Oryzias latipes: one gene and its partners. The protein of the gene in region 2 purifies or fractionates together with the protein of the main gene of each other region. This does not show direct contact. Links are inferred from orthologs where the notes say so. Each region holds a gene or a part of one and is shown on either strand. Other genes may lie near its edges.

What was found.
Region 1: the proteins of trim33 (region 2) and mothers against decapentaplegic homolog 3 purify together in Homo sapiens (affinity purification with western blotting; 7 studies listed by BioGRID and IntAct, with this or other methods). This does not show direct contact. The link is inferred for Oryzias latipes from reciprocal best matches to the Homo sapiens genes TRIM33 and SMAD3.
Region 3: the proteins of trim33 (region 2) and ssrp1 purify together in Homo sapiens (affinity purification with mass spectrometry; 3 studies listed by BioGRID and IntAct, with this or other methods). This does not show direct contact. The link is inferred for Oryzias latipes from reciprocal best matches to the Homo sapiens genes TRIM33 and SSRP1.
Region 4: the proteins of trim33 (region 2) and skil purify together in Homo sapiens (affinity purification with western blotting; 4 studies listed by BioGRID and IntAct, with this or other methods). This does not show direct contact. The link is inferred for Oryzias latipes from reciprocal best matches to the Homo sapiens genes TRIM33 and SKIL.

The regions. Positions count from the first base shown.
Region 1 is NC_019861.2:12,626,459-12,628,669, forward strand, and holds part of mothers against decapentaplegic homolog 3, read right to left. Parts: intron 488-2,211; coding exon 364-487; 3' UTR 1-363. UniProt on the Homo sapiens protein: Receptor-regulated SMAD (R-SMAD) that is an intracellular signal transducer and transcriptional modulator activated by TGF-beta (transforming growth factor) and activin type 1 receptor kinases.
Region 2 is NC_019865.2:973,538-977,037, forward strand, and holds part of trim33 (E3 ubiquitin-protein ligase TRIM33), read left to right. Parts: intron 1-2,035; coding exon 2,036-2,086; intron 2,087-3,062; coding exon 3,063-3,281; 3' UTR 3,282-3,500. UniProt on the Homo sapiens protein: Acts as an E3 ubiquitin-protein ligase. Promotes SMAD4 ubiquitination, nuclear exclusion and degradation via the ubiquitin proteasome pathway. According to PubMed:16751102, does not promote a decrease in the level of endogenous SMAD4.
Region 3 is NC_019868.2:13,992,159-13,994,698, reverse strand, and holds the end of ssrp1 (FACT complex subunit SSRP1), read left to right. Parts: coding exon 1-137; intron 138-1,514; coding exon 1,515-1,580; 3' UTR 1,581-2,040; downstream 2,041-2,540. UniProt on the Homo sapiens protein: Component of the FACT complex, a general chromatin factor that acts to reorganize nucleosomes. The FACT complex is involved in multiple processes that require DNA as a template such as mRNA elongation, DNA replication and DNA repair.
Region 4 is NC_019875.2:30,153,032-30,156,531, reverse strand, and holds part of skil (ski-like protein), read left to right. Parts: intron 1-1,826; coding exon 1,827-1,919; intron 1,920-2,079; coding exon 2,080-2,168; intron 2,169-2,808; coding exon 2,809-2,945; intron 2,946-3,500. UniProt on the Homo sapiens protein: May have regulatory role in cell division or differentiation in response to extracellular signals.

The DNA of each region.
Region 1 (2,211 bases), on a different chromosome or scaffold from region 2:
TAATTGAGTGTAAAATGTATCCAACAGCTATAAACAATAAACAAGACATTAAAAAAAAACAGGAAATAAAAAAATAATTCTGCCTTTCTGGCTATCAGATGCCAAAAATGACAATGACCTTCAAAAAAAAAAAGAAAAAAGAAAAAAGACCAATATGCTGAGATCCTCCTAAACTGATACTGCATTAATGCACGTGTCCCCTTTTTGCAACTAGAAAATAAAAAAAGTGCTACTGGCAGCGAGGAGGGACAAACAGTGGCTGGATGAGAGGCGTGTCATCATGTAGTTCTCGGGCTGCTCTTCCTATCTGTGTTTTCAGTTTCGTGAAAGGGGGGGGGGGGGGGGGGGGCAGGGAAGCTCCCCCTAGGAGACACTGGAGCAGTGGATGCTTGGGGAGCCCATCTGTGTCAGCACCTTGTCGAGCCACTGCAGAGGGCCGTTCAGGTGGAGCTCGATCCAGCAGGGGGTGCTGGTCACTGTCTGCCGCCTGGGACGCACACACAGACAACAGATGGTGAGGATGCAGAACCAGCCGCTCTGCCTGTAAGTAAACACATCAAGTCCTGGAAAAACAAACACCTGATCGATTTTAGCCCTGATATTTGGCATATGCAATCAAACTGGATCTATTCTGAGCTGCAGCTGAACTTCCTGCTGTTTAGTAAGACGAGGCTTCGACTTTTCTGTGAATTATGGCAATTATTATTGCACAGCGTCATAAAACTGCTTTAACAAGACGGCAAGGTTTTGTTCTGTCTGGCACTGAATCTGATCATGGAAACAAGATAAGATGTTTTTCACATTCATAGAACACTTAAAACTAGAGTCACTGTCTGAAGCTGTTTTTTATCCCTTTATTTATATAAGAGACACCCATTGAGACGGAACTCTTTTCACCTGGGAGATACCCGGGTCAACCTCTGTTCACGGAACAGCTCCTCTTAAGAGCCTTGCTCAAGGGCATTACAGCAGTGGAGCAAAGGCTTTTTTACTTTACTATGACTTTTTCAAGTCAGAATTGGGACTTGAACCAATGACCAACCAGCCAAGGGTTCATGTCAGTGACCAGTAGGCCAGCCCTCCACACACATCAGCTGGATTTGTAACCCGTGACTGTTGATTTTCTTTCTCCACGTCAAAGCGCGTCTGCAGCCTCTGTCAGGGTTACTTAAACAAGAGTTCAAGAACAGAACGTTTAGCAATTTCTGAGAACTTTCGTTCCAAAATGACCTATTGGCAGACCCACTCTGATGTAAATTGTGTTGTGTTTGTAATCATGGCGAATTAGGAGCAGAAATACAGTTGGCGAAAGCCTGTAGAGGTGACATACAAGCTATAATTAGTGGGCAACAAGCTCCCTGCTCTGCTCCATTCTGATGTATCCACTTGCAGACAAATAGATCCATGAACGTCTTTGTTTTCCTCGTCTGAACTGTTATCTGCTCCAACATTGCTCCCCGTTTTTGTTGCATCTGCAATGTTCGGTTGGGGCTGTAAGCTAGTGGGAGAAAGTGTAATCAGATGGATGACGGGAAATAGGGGCGGGCTTACTTTGCACCAATGGGGTTGCCCTCAATTCAGAGGTAAATTTCTAATGAACTAATGTTTTATTTGTTTTTTTTGACTGAAAATCCTCATTAAAAGAGCAGTGGGGATACTTTTACAATAGATCAAAGAGGATTGGAGTGGGACTTTAAATGAGGCCGTACTTTGACCAATAAGGCAGAAAGACAAAAAATACGATTTGAAGCTTGATCTTGAAGCGTCTTTTGTCAAATGTGCTACATTCAAAGTGGACTGATCTTCATGTCTTTTACATTTTTTGCTGTATAGCTGTTTATATTTGATATGCTTCTTTTTCTAAACTTTCTCCTTCTTGAATCTTTACGATTCTTTTGTTCTCTCTGACCTCAGAATGGACAGGACAGACTGGAGCTGATAACGAGAACAGTGGGATTGAACTTTGATGATTCAGGGTTTGGATCCAGATGTTTCACATTTTTAAGGCAGAAATAAAAAAAATTTGAACAAAGGGATTAAACTGCTGGCTCTGTGTTAAAAGTCTCATCAAGCTAAAGGATGCAGAAGTTTTGGAATCAACTGGACAGCAGCTCACCGGATACAACACAAATGCTTCCCAATGTCGGCTCCTTTAAAGTATTCATTCATGTGAAGCAGTTTTTAAACTGAATGACAAAAACGTGGAGGGAC
Region 2 (3,500 bases):
CGTCTGTACCGGTAGTTCTGTTATACGTCTGTACCGTTAGTTCCGTTATACGTCTGTACCAGTAGTTCTGTACACGTCTGTACCGGTAGTTCTGTACACGTCTGTACCGGTAGTTCAATACACGTCTGTACCGGTAGTTCCGTTATACGTCTGTACCGTTAGTTCCGTTATACGTCTGTACCAGTAGTTCTGTACACGTCTGTACCGGTAGTTCAATACACGTCTGTATTGGTAGTTCCGCACACCTCTGGATTGGTAGTTTATACACGTCTGTACCGGTAGTTTTGTATACGTCTGTGCCAGTAGGTCTGTACGCGTCTGTACCGGTAGTTCTGTACACGTCTGTACAGGTAGTTCCGTACACATCATTACAGGTACGTCTGTACTGGTAGTTCAGTGTATTTCAGTACCAACCAGGTTATGAGTCTGGGTACCCATCCCTACTCATCCCTACTGGAGGGAGGGGCTGCCGTGCCTCTGCACCAGAACATGTTTGATTCGTCCGTTTCTGATTTAATGTGATGTTGTTTCCTATTTGAATTTTCTGTTTGAGGCATCAAAGAATTGAAGACCTCATCTTAACTAGACCACGCTGATACCAAACAGAACCCGTTTAAACTTTAGCACGTCTGGAAACAGACCAAAAACAGTCCACTGGCCACATGGTGCACTAAATCATGAGGAAATGCAGACTCGGCCTTCAAGCAGATGGACTCGGCGTCTCTACTGGTTTGTGGAACAGCGGCTCAACAAACGAGATTTTTAACCAAAGAAAACCAAAGATCTGACCCAAATCTCCAGAGGATCCAGAGGTAGAGATTCTAACTAAAGAATAGAGGTGTTTATTCTTAAACCGCTGAAGTTTTGTGGGAAAGCTGCTGCTCTGGGTTTCATTCCTTCCTGTCAGTAGTTGTTTTCTTCCTGCAGGGCCTTTGGTGTCAAATTGTTGGAGTTTGTTTCCTAAATTGTTTTTCTCTCTACCGTCAGCGTTTGCTCTAACACGTCCCTTTAATCCGGTAAAATAATCTGTTTGAACCGGAAGGGTCTGGGTTGAGCTGTTGGTCTTCAGCTTGATGTTTTATAAACAAACTGACGTTTACAGGAACCGGCGGTGGCGTCTGTAACGCACCAACGCGTGTGAAACGGTCGGTTCATCTCGATTTAAAACCTCTGTGACGATGAAAAACAAGCGGCAGCACTCTGAGAAGCTGCTTTGTGCCGAGTCAGGATGCTGTCGCCGCGTCATGCTAAGCCGTAAAGAGAAACATCCAGCAGACCGTGGCGAGGTTAGAAAACACAAACTGAAGCTGCGGCTCAGCTGATGGGGCGGAGCTTCTCCTTTCTCTGTGGAGGAGGACCGGAGGAACAGCCTCAGGAGCCCGGTAGAGCCTGGACCGCGGGTGGGAGGAGAACCAGCAGCCTAACCGTCTCAGGACCTGAGCTGGCATTTGCTGTTGTCTGTAGGGTGGGGGCTTTCTGTGGAAGAGGTTGGAGGATCAATTCCCCTTTATTTCACCAGATACCTTTCCGAAGAAGGGCAAACCGCGACAGGCCCTGGGGCCGTTTTAAAGCTTTTGCTGTAGATTAGAAAATGGTTACGGAAGATTTCCAGAACTTCTGGAGCTCGATCCAGTACCTAAAATAACAGAACTTCTGTAAAATAAAAGGGAAAAGGTCAACAGATGAAAACAAGTTGATTTAATTTCAATAAAAAGCCTCATGGACGTTGAAAACGTCCGGAGAAAGACTTTCAAAATAAAAGTCCTGCAGCACCGTTTCATGTTCAGAACTTTGCTGATGGTTCTCTGAACATGGTTTCAAGCATTGCTGTGGAGAAAGCGTCCGAACAGACGAACCGCCCCATTGTGGGTTTGATCCTGCTGTTAATGCTGCTGGTTTGGTGTCCTCAGCCTGTCCTGCAGCCCCCCCCTGCAGAGACAGACGTCCCTCCTGTGATGATCTAACCTGCTTTTGCTGTGACCTTCTCTTCCTCGCTGCTTCACGGTCTTTGATGTAATGTCGTTGCCCCCTTTAGATGTCTCGAATAATCCAGGTTTATGATGAGGAGAAAGAGATTAATCCACAGGTAAGCTCAGGTACCTGTTTCCTCCCACTGAGGCTCCTAGAAAGGTTTTTCCACTTCAAACTGTGATGAGGGGGGGGGTCGGGAAGGGATGCCGTGAATTAATAGTCGTCCTTTCAGGGTCCGTTTGACCCGTTTGATGAAGCGGGATCCGTTTTTGATCCCGTTAGTTTGATTCCAACCCCTCCGAATCGCTGGTTCTGCCAAAGCCACGAACCAATCAGATTAATTCATGTGAGGTTATGAAACCAGCAAATATGGTGGTTGGTTCTGATCCAAATCCATCTAAGTCATGATTCAAAGGGAAATTTACACAAAGAAAAGATGCATTCTAAAAATAATAAAAGAATTTGGTTTATATCAGAATAGTTTATTTTCCATCTTTTACCTGAGGATTGATTTGATCTGATGCACTGATTATTATTGGATGTCGTCCCGATCAGTGGTGACACTGAGCATGTGCAGTAGCCTCCTGGTTCCTCTGCGCTTCAGTTGAGCCTTTCTTTCTGTTTGAACACATCTGGTTCCTGTATTTTCCATCATTCCAGAGAAACGAAGGCGCTCTGCTCTTTGTCATCTTAGTTCAGTTGTGACTCCGCCCACATCAGTGAAGGTTGACTTCTTCCTCAGATGAAGGAACTTCAGCCGCATCTTTTGGGCGCTAAAGCTAAAAACCTTTTTAAAGGTTTATGTTGGAACAGAAGGAGAGAAAATGAAAATGCTGCAGATGGATGAAGGTCTGATGGTGGAAAAACGTCATGGAGCCGCAGTGGGACAGGAAGGCAGAATATTCCTGCTCTGCTCAGCAAGGTTGAGGTGGGGCCGCCTCCCCGCAAGACTTTTAACCAGGTTTAATTTGTCTCCTCGTTCTCCTCCTCCTCACCCTTCCTCTCCAAACCCACTCACTGGTGCTCTCAAACCTTCTCCCTCCTCTTTCACCGCTCCCACTTTCTCCTCCCTCCTCTTCCTCCTCCGGCAGGCCGGGTCGGAGATGGCCATTTCCGGGAAGGCGGTGGGTCTGTACTTTGAGGAGAAGCTGCAGGAGATGTTCCCGGGCCAGAACTTCCCCGAAACTCCAGAAGCCGAGCCCCCGGATGAGAAGGAGCGGGAGGAGGAGACGGAGGACTCGGAGGACGACTTCATACAGCCCCGACGCAAGCGGTTGAAAACGGACGAGAAGGTGGTCCACATCAAATAGTGACTGAACCAGGAGTGAAGACCGTCTTCCCGCCTCCCTCACTCCCGTTTCTTCAGGAAGAGGAGGAGAGCTCCTCACAAACAGCGGTTCATCCTACGGTTGCCTTTGGAAGAACTCCCATCTACAACATTGTACAGACGATGAAGCTGGACTGGTTTTGCAGTAGTGGACTTTGGGTTGTTTTTCTTATCCCTTTGTAGATTCATGTGATTCTTTTCC
Region 3 (2,540 bases), on a different chromosome or scaffold from region 2:
AGAAGAGGAAGTCTGCTGGAGGTGACAAAGACAAGGAGCGAGGAGGCAACGACAGCTTCAAGAGCAAAGAGTTCATTGAGACCAGCGAGGAGAGCTCCTCAGACTCCGACCACAAGAGCAAGTCCAAGAGGAAGAAGGTACACTGATGGTTGCTGTCACAGAAGTTAACCTTTTAAAGGCCAGCAGCACCAGTTACACTTCAATTTGATCAAAGAAAGACCCATAAGTAACACGTGAAGCATCATTTACTCACACAGATCAGCTTTCATTAAAAAATCAATCTAATGCTTTGAGAAAGTTGACGCCACGGAGTGTCCTGCCATTAATACAAGGTCTGAATGAATGAACGTCTCGCCAAAGGAACGACCGTATTTTCTTTAATTATACATTTACTTTGCATCTACAGTTCTGAGTGAGTGATAATTGGATTATTAAATTACCAGAAAACAATTATTTTCTTCTACAGTGGGATTCAGATTTCAAATAAAAAAACTGACTGTTTGGAAACTTGTTGTTGGGGGAATAAGAAGAACTATTTGTCTTTCCTCTGAATATATTGTTAGTTTTGTTTCTCAACTCAATTGAGACAATATCCAATCAGCACTTTATTTATCTATTTACACCTTCATAAACAAAGTAAAGACAGAGTTTTTGACACAAATGCTTCTTTGTTGGAAAAAGTCCATCTGTACTGTAGCAATGAGAGTTCCTGTGGCATCCTGTGGCTTTGAGCATTAGGCGTGGCGGGACGCTGGAGCTGCAGCGCGGCATCAACCAATCAGGAGCTCAGATGTGCAGTGATGTGTTGAGGACGGGAACAGTGGGTGAAGTCTAAAACCATCATGGAGGAGAAGCTGATTCGTCCTCCTCTCAAACTTTGATATTTTTCATATAAGAATCAAAAGAATATAGATATATTTTTAAAAGGCCCTTTTTTGTATCTTAAACTTTCTCGGACTAATGCAGGACAGCTTTAGTCATTTTGTCGTTCAGACGCAGTTCCTGCAGTAGATGGTGAACCTAACCGTACTGGAAGTGTCTTCCAATGATGTCAAAATCCCAGAAATGGAGACGTGCTTACCGACATCTTTTGCAGAGCGTTTCAAACCTCTTAACATCATCCATGTCTTCCATGCATTGCTCATGAGAGCTACTGAAATACAGTCTATGCTTCCTACAGGCCTGAGGCTAAAAGCTTTTGACAGTAGCTCCTCCCACATCAACGCAGTGAGAGCGTCAGGTCCAGCAGCACGTTGACCGCGCGTCCAAACAGGCGGAGGTTACAAAAGTCTTTGCGTGAATGGCATTTAGTGTGAACGCAGCATCAGGAAGATCATGTCTCAAGCCTCCAGTTAGTAAAGTGATGAACTCCTTAAGTCATCTTCAGTTTGTGTGTTTTCTGTCAGTTCAGTGCACACACCAAAACCTGACTGTATGTTGTGTATACATATAAATATATATATATATACCTGTGTTAAGAGTTAAAAACAATGATAACTTTGTTTTTTGAACAGGAGTCAGATGATGAGGAAGAAGAGGCTGTGTCCACCCCTGCCAACTCGGAGGAAGAGTCTGACTAAACAAGTTACGTCAAAGACCCCAAACCAACAAGGACCAACAATTTATACTTTTGATTTCAGACTAGTCGGCAAACTTGAGTTATACATATTTTTCTTTTGTTTAGATTTAAGACAACTCTAAATTGTATGTCTGGATAAGAAGAGTCATCTCCGGGTTGACATCTGAGCAGGCGGCCGGCCCCCTCCCAGCTCAATGAAGCAATGGGGTCTTTTGCTTCGCTTGAATTATTAAGGTGTTTTTTCCATCGAGCCCATGGGAGCTGCTCTGACGGAAGCAGCAGGAAAGACTGTGAGCCCCCGATTATGTCATGTGAATGATGCAGAGTAGTGGATTTTTTGTTTCCCTCCTTCTCTCTGTATAGTGCTTTTAAAAACAACATTTTGTGTGTTTTGCTACGCCGTGTTTTCAGGTTGACATAAATAATTTTCAATAAACCTTAACTTTTTTTCCCCTTTGGTACATGTTCTCTTACGTTCTCTGGTTCCGTTTTCCTGAGACCCAAACTAGTTTCAGGAATTACTGCCTTCCAGAAATGTGTTATTTGCTTGGTTCTATACCAAAAAACTTCACCATTTGAGTGGGACAGTCCTCCACCCAGATGCATATTGGTTAGAGAGCATTAAAACAAAAACCATTTCAACAAATAAAAATGCAAAAAATATCTTCTGGGAGATTAAATCCAGAATTATAGAGAAATTAACATTTGTTTCTGCCTATTTAAGATTCAATGCAAATCCTGAAAAAGTGTTCCTCCAATGAAGGATCTCAAGAAATCTGTAGAACAGGGTCTGCAGCCTGAGGCTCTGGAGCCACATGTGGCCCTTCATCCATTGTAGCTCTTTGCTGGCTAGCAAGAAACATTATTCCACTTTTCAAAAAGATGTTAGATTAAATGTCAACAGAACTCTAATGGTAAGAGTGGTATATTATCAAAATAAGCTGATATGTACATGTAGATT
Region 4 (3,500 bases), on a different chromosome or scaffold from region 2:
GGCGACAGAACTCTGATGTTAAGGTGGTTCCTGGTCTCTGTAGTTCTGAGCTTCATGAAGGATCTGCTCTGAACCGGATCTCTGCTTGATCTCAGGTTTCTGTGAGGAAAGTGCGTGCACGTCTGTCCGTTACCGTGCACGTATGGAGATACCATCTCTGTTTATAGCACAGCGTCTCTGTGCGTGAGGGGAGTCCACGTGACCACGTAGGGGCTGGACCTCCGTCTGTGTCGGTTTGTGTCAAAGGCTCCTCTGCCTCAGGGGTGTAGCGTCCAGCCGGGGCCTCCTCCTGCTTTCTGAGAGGAGGACGAGTCCTCTGGTCCCAAACTGAAGAAATGACCGCAGACACACACAGACAGAGTCACGGATGTTCCTGCAGCTCCTGCCTCTGCATGAGCGCCTGCTGCAGAAATGTCACGTGCGCCGTGGAAGTGGGTCACTGAAGTTCACATGGCGGCGTGTGTCTGCGGCGCTCGGGGGTGATGCGTGTGAAGCCGACAGACTGCAGGTGATTAAGAACAGCAGAGTTCAGCGCGGAGTGGGATCTGCCTTTGTCAGGAGGTGTGTGTGGGGAGGGGGGCACAAAGAAGTGCTCATCCTTTGGGGGGGGGGTTGTGTTTGTAGTGGGCCGTCCTGGGTCAGAACCTGCACTTAGGTCATGAACTGTAGGGTTCAGACAGAAACCACAACCTCTGAGACATGAACGAATGGTGACACCTAAACTTCCTGTTTCCCGCCGCCCTTCCTGCTCACCTGACAGTGACCCCCCCCCCACGCCACAGCAGTGCATGTGCTCATTATCAACACGCTCTTTGCTCTGCTATAAACGTGTGTGGGTGGTAGTGTTCTGACATTCTTGGTTTACTGTCACATGCACACGCACGTGCACATGCACGAGGACAAACGGGAATCACACAAAGTGTAAAATCCCTGCTGGGGGGGGGTTCCACAGAACTTCCACCGCAGTGTTGTTTTCTCCTTTTGTCCTCCCCCCTCCTCCCTGGCGGCTCTGCAGTGCTGCCTCCTGGATGGAAAAAAGGAAAAACCTCCAACCACAAGTATTTTCAGACGGACGAGCCCCCGCCTGTGCTCCGGCCCACCTGCAGCCGGGGGGGGCGCATGTTCTGACGCACTCGACATGTCTGTGGAGGGGGGGGGGCTCTGCAGATTATCTCTCTATAGATTTTTGTCTCACTGCCGATTGATCAGTTTTATTGTGAAAATCCCTCATTCTGATGGTTTTATTGTGAAAATCCCTCATTCTGATCTGGCAGGCTCGCTCAGAAGGTCACAGGACTTTTCCTGCGTAGTTTTCATGCTCCTTCCTTCTGATGATGAAGACCCTCATGTCTGTCACGGACCTCCTCTGTCTGTTAGGAGGCGTTCGCCATGCCTCCTTTTGACCTTCTGCTCTTCTGGTCTCCGCCTCCTCTGCGCTGAGGTCACCCTTTTTCACGCCTTTTCTGTGTCAGACGCCCCAGTTGGACGTGTAGTCCGTCTCCTTTGTCTAAAGGGTCGTCTCCAGTCTAAAACACGGAGGCGCTTCATCTGCAGCGTTCACCAAACCGCTGATCATCAAACCATCATCGGGTCTGGATCCGTCCAAACCTTTCAGTCCGTTTTGTTTCCCTGCAGCCACGGTTCCGGGGTCACTTCCTGTCTCTGTGGCATTTGTCTGACCTCTGACCTGTTTTGAAAATCGTTTCTGTGAACAGTTTCCGGAATATTTATTTTCAGTAGAATATCAGGAACCATCTTTCTCACTTCCTGTCTCTGCAGCAAATGTCTGACCTTTGACCTATGTCCTGTTTCTCTCCGTACATCAGAAGACGGGGGAGGAAGAGGAGGGCCGCGTGAGGAAGAACTCTGCAGATCTCTGCTCTGTTAATAAGTTGGACGATGCTGAACCTGCCAGAAAGGTCAGTCAAAGCCCCGCCCCCTACGGTCTACATCTGTACCTCTCACCGTCTTTGTGTGTGTGTGTGTGTGTGTGACTTTTTCTCTGTCTTTTGTGTCTTATAAAGTCTTTTTTGTTGCTGTTGTGTCACATTCCCAGTTTGTATGATTTGTGCTCCACAGGGTAAACCGTCTCCCCCCGCTCTGCTCTACAGCCATGTTTTCCCAGACATCAAGGAGGAGCCAGGACCCCCCACCCTGGTCCATCCCAGGTACTGCACCTGACTCGCTCACAAAAGACACTCAGGTTCCCATCATGCCTCTGGCTGCAGACGCCCTGACGTTCAGAATCAGACTCCATTTTTCATGGGGACAACATGATCAGACCTGTGCTGCTGAGGCTTCTGGGTAATGGAGTCTTTGCCATAGAAAACTGTTTATTCGAAGTTTGTTTTTTGGAGGAGCCCCCCCCCCCCCCCCCCATTAATCTGACTGGGATTACAGCCAAGAATTCGGGGTTTATGCTGCTGTGGTTGATGACTGACGTCAGAGTGTGTGTGGGGGGGTCTGGTCACCTGGCAGCCTCTGTGCACAGAGAGGGGGGAGGGGGGCCAGGTCTCTGCTGACATCTGAGAACTGTTCTTTTTTGGGGTGGGGGGCACAGGGAGGGGCAGCAGAGCCACTGAGCTGTCAGGCTTCACCTGGTTCAGTGCTGCAGCCTCCCTTGGGGGGCAGGGAGTCTCAGCGCCCCTCTTCTTGGCGTGCAGCCCACACAAACAGGAAGTGAGGGCCTGTAGTCTCCTCTGGAGGAGCTAAAAGACTGGCTGGAGGTTGAGTGGTGGACCCCCCCACCAAAGCAAACAGAGCAGCTGCTTCATCTTTATGCTGTCATGCGTCTCCTTTTCTCTGCAGTTACTACCTGTACACCTACGATAAGATGGTGGCGCCCAACGTGTCCCTGCGGAGGGAGGCGGAGGTGAACCCCGACATGCTGGGGGCGCTGCTCAGACAGCACTACGGCCACAGAGCCCCGGACGAGCCCCCAGTGGGTGAGTGAGCAGACAGCGGTTCAGAACCAAACACGTCCATGAAATGCTGCTTCTGTTTGACAAACGCCGGAGTTCCAGTTTGAGACCAACGTTTGTTTTTACAAAAGTCTCCATTTGATTTTATTACAGTGAGAAAAAAGGTTTGATTCTAAAACCAACATTTACTCTGAGATTCCAGATCAGCTGGAAGTTTTTCAGCATTTATGTGAACAGAACAAAAGAAAACGTGACGACTTTTCATTTGTATGAAACACACCTGTACAAAAATGATCTCACACACACATTTGATGGTGATAAACGGGCGGTTAGTGACCCCCCCTCCAGTGATGAGTCACGTCTACAGCTGTTGGACCCCCCCTCTGTTTGCTAGACCCCTTCTTTTACTCTTTAAGCCCCACCCTCCTTCATCTCAGCCTCTCTATCACACTTCTGCCCGCCCAGATCTTAGTGAATGTAATCAATGCCTCCATTCTATTATTTCCCATGATGCACCTCTGAGGCCAGCCTCAGCTGTGGGACAGCGCGCGGCGGCGTTCAGCGCTCCCACACCGACGC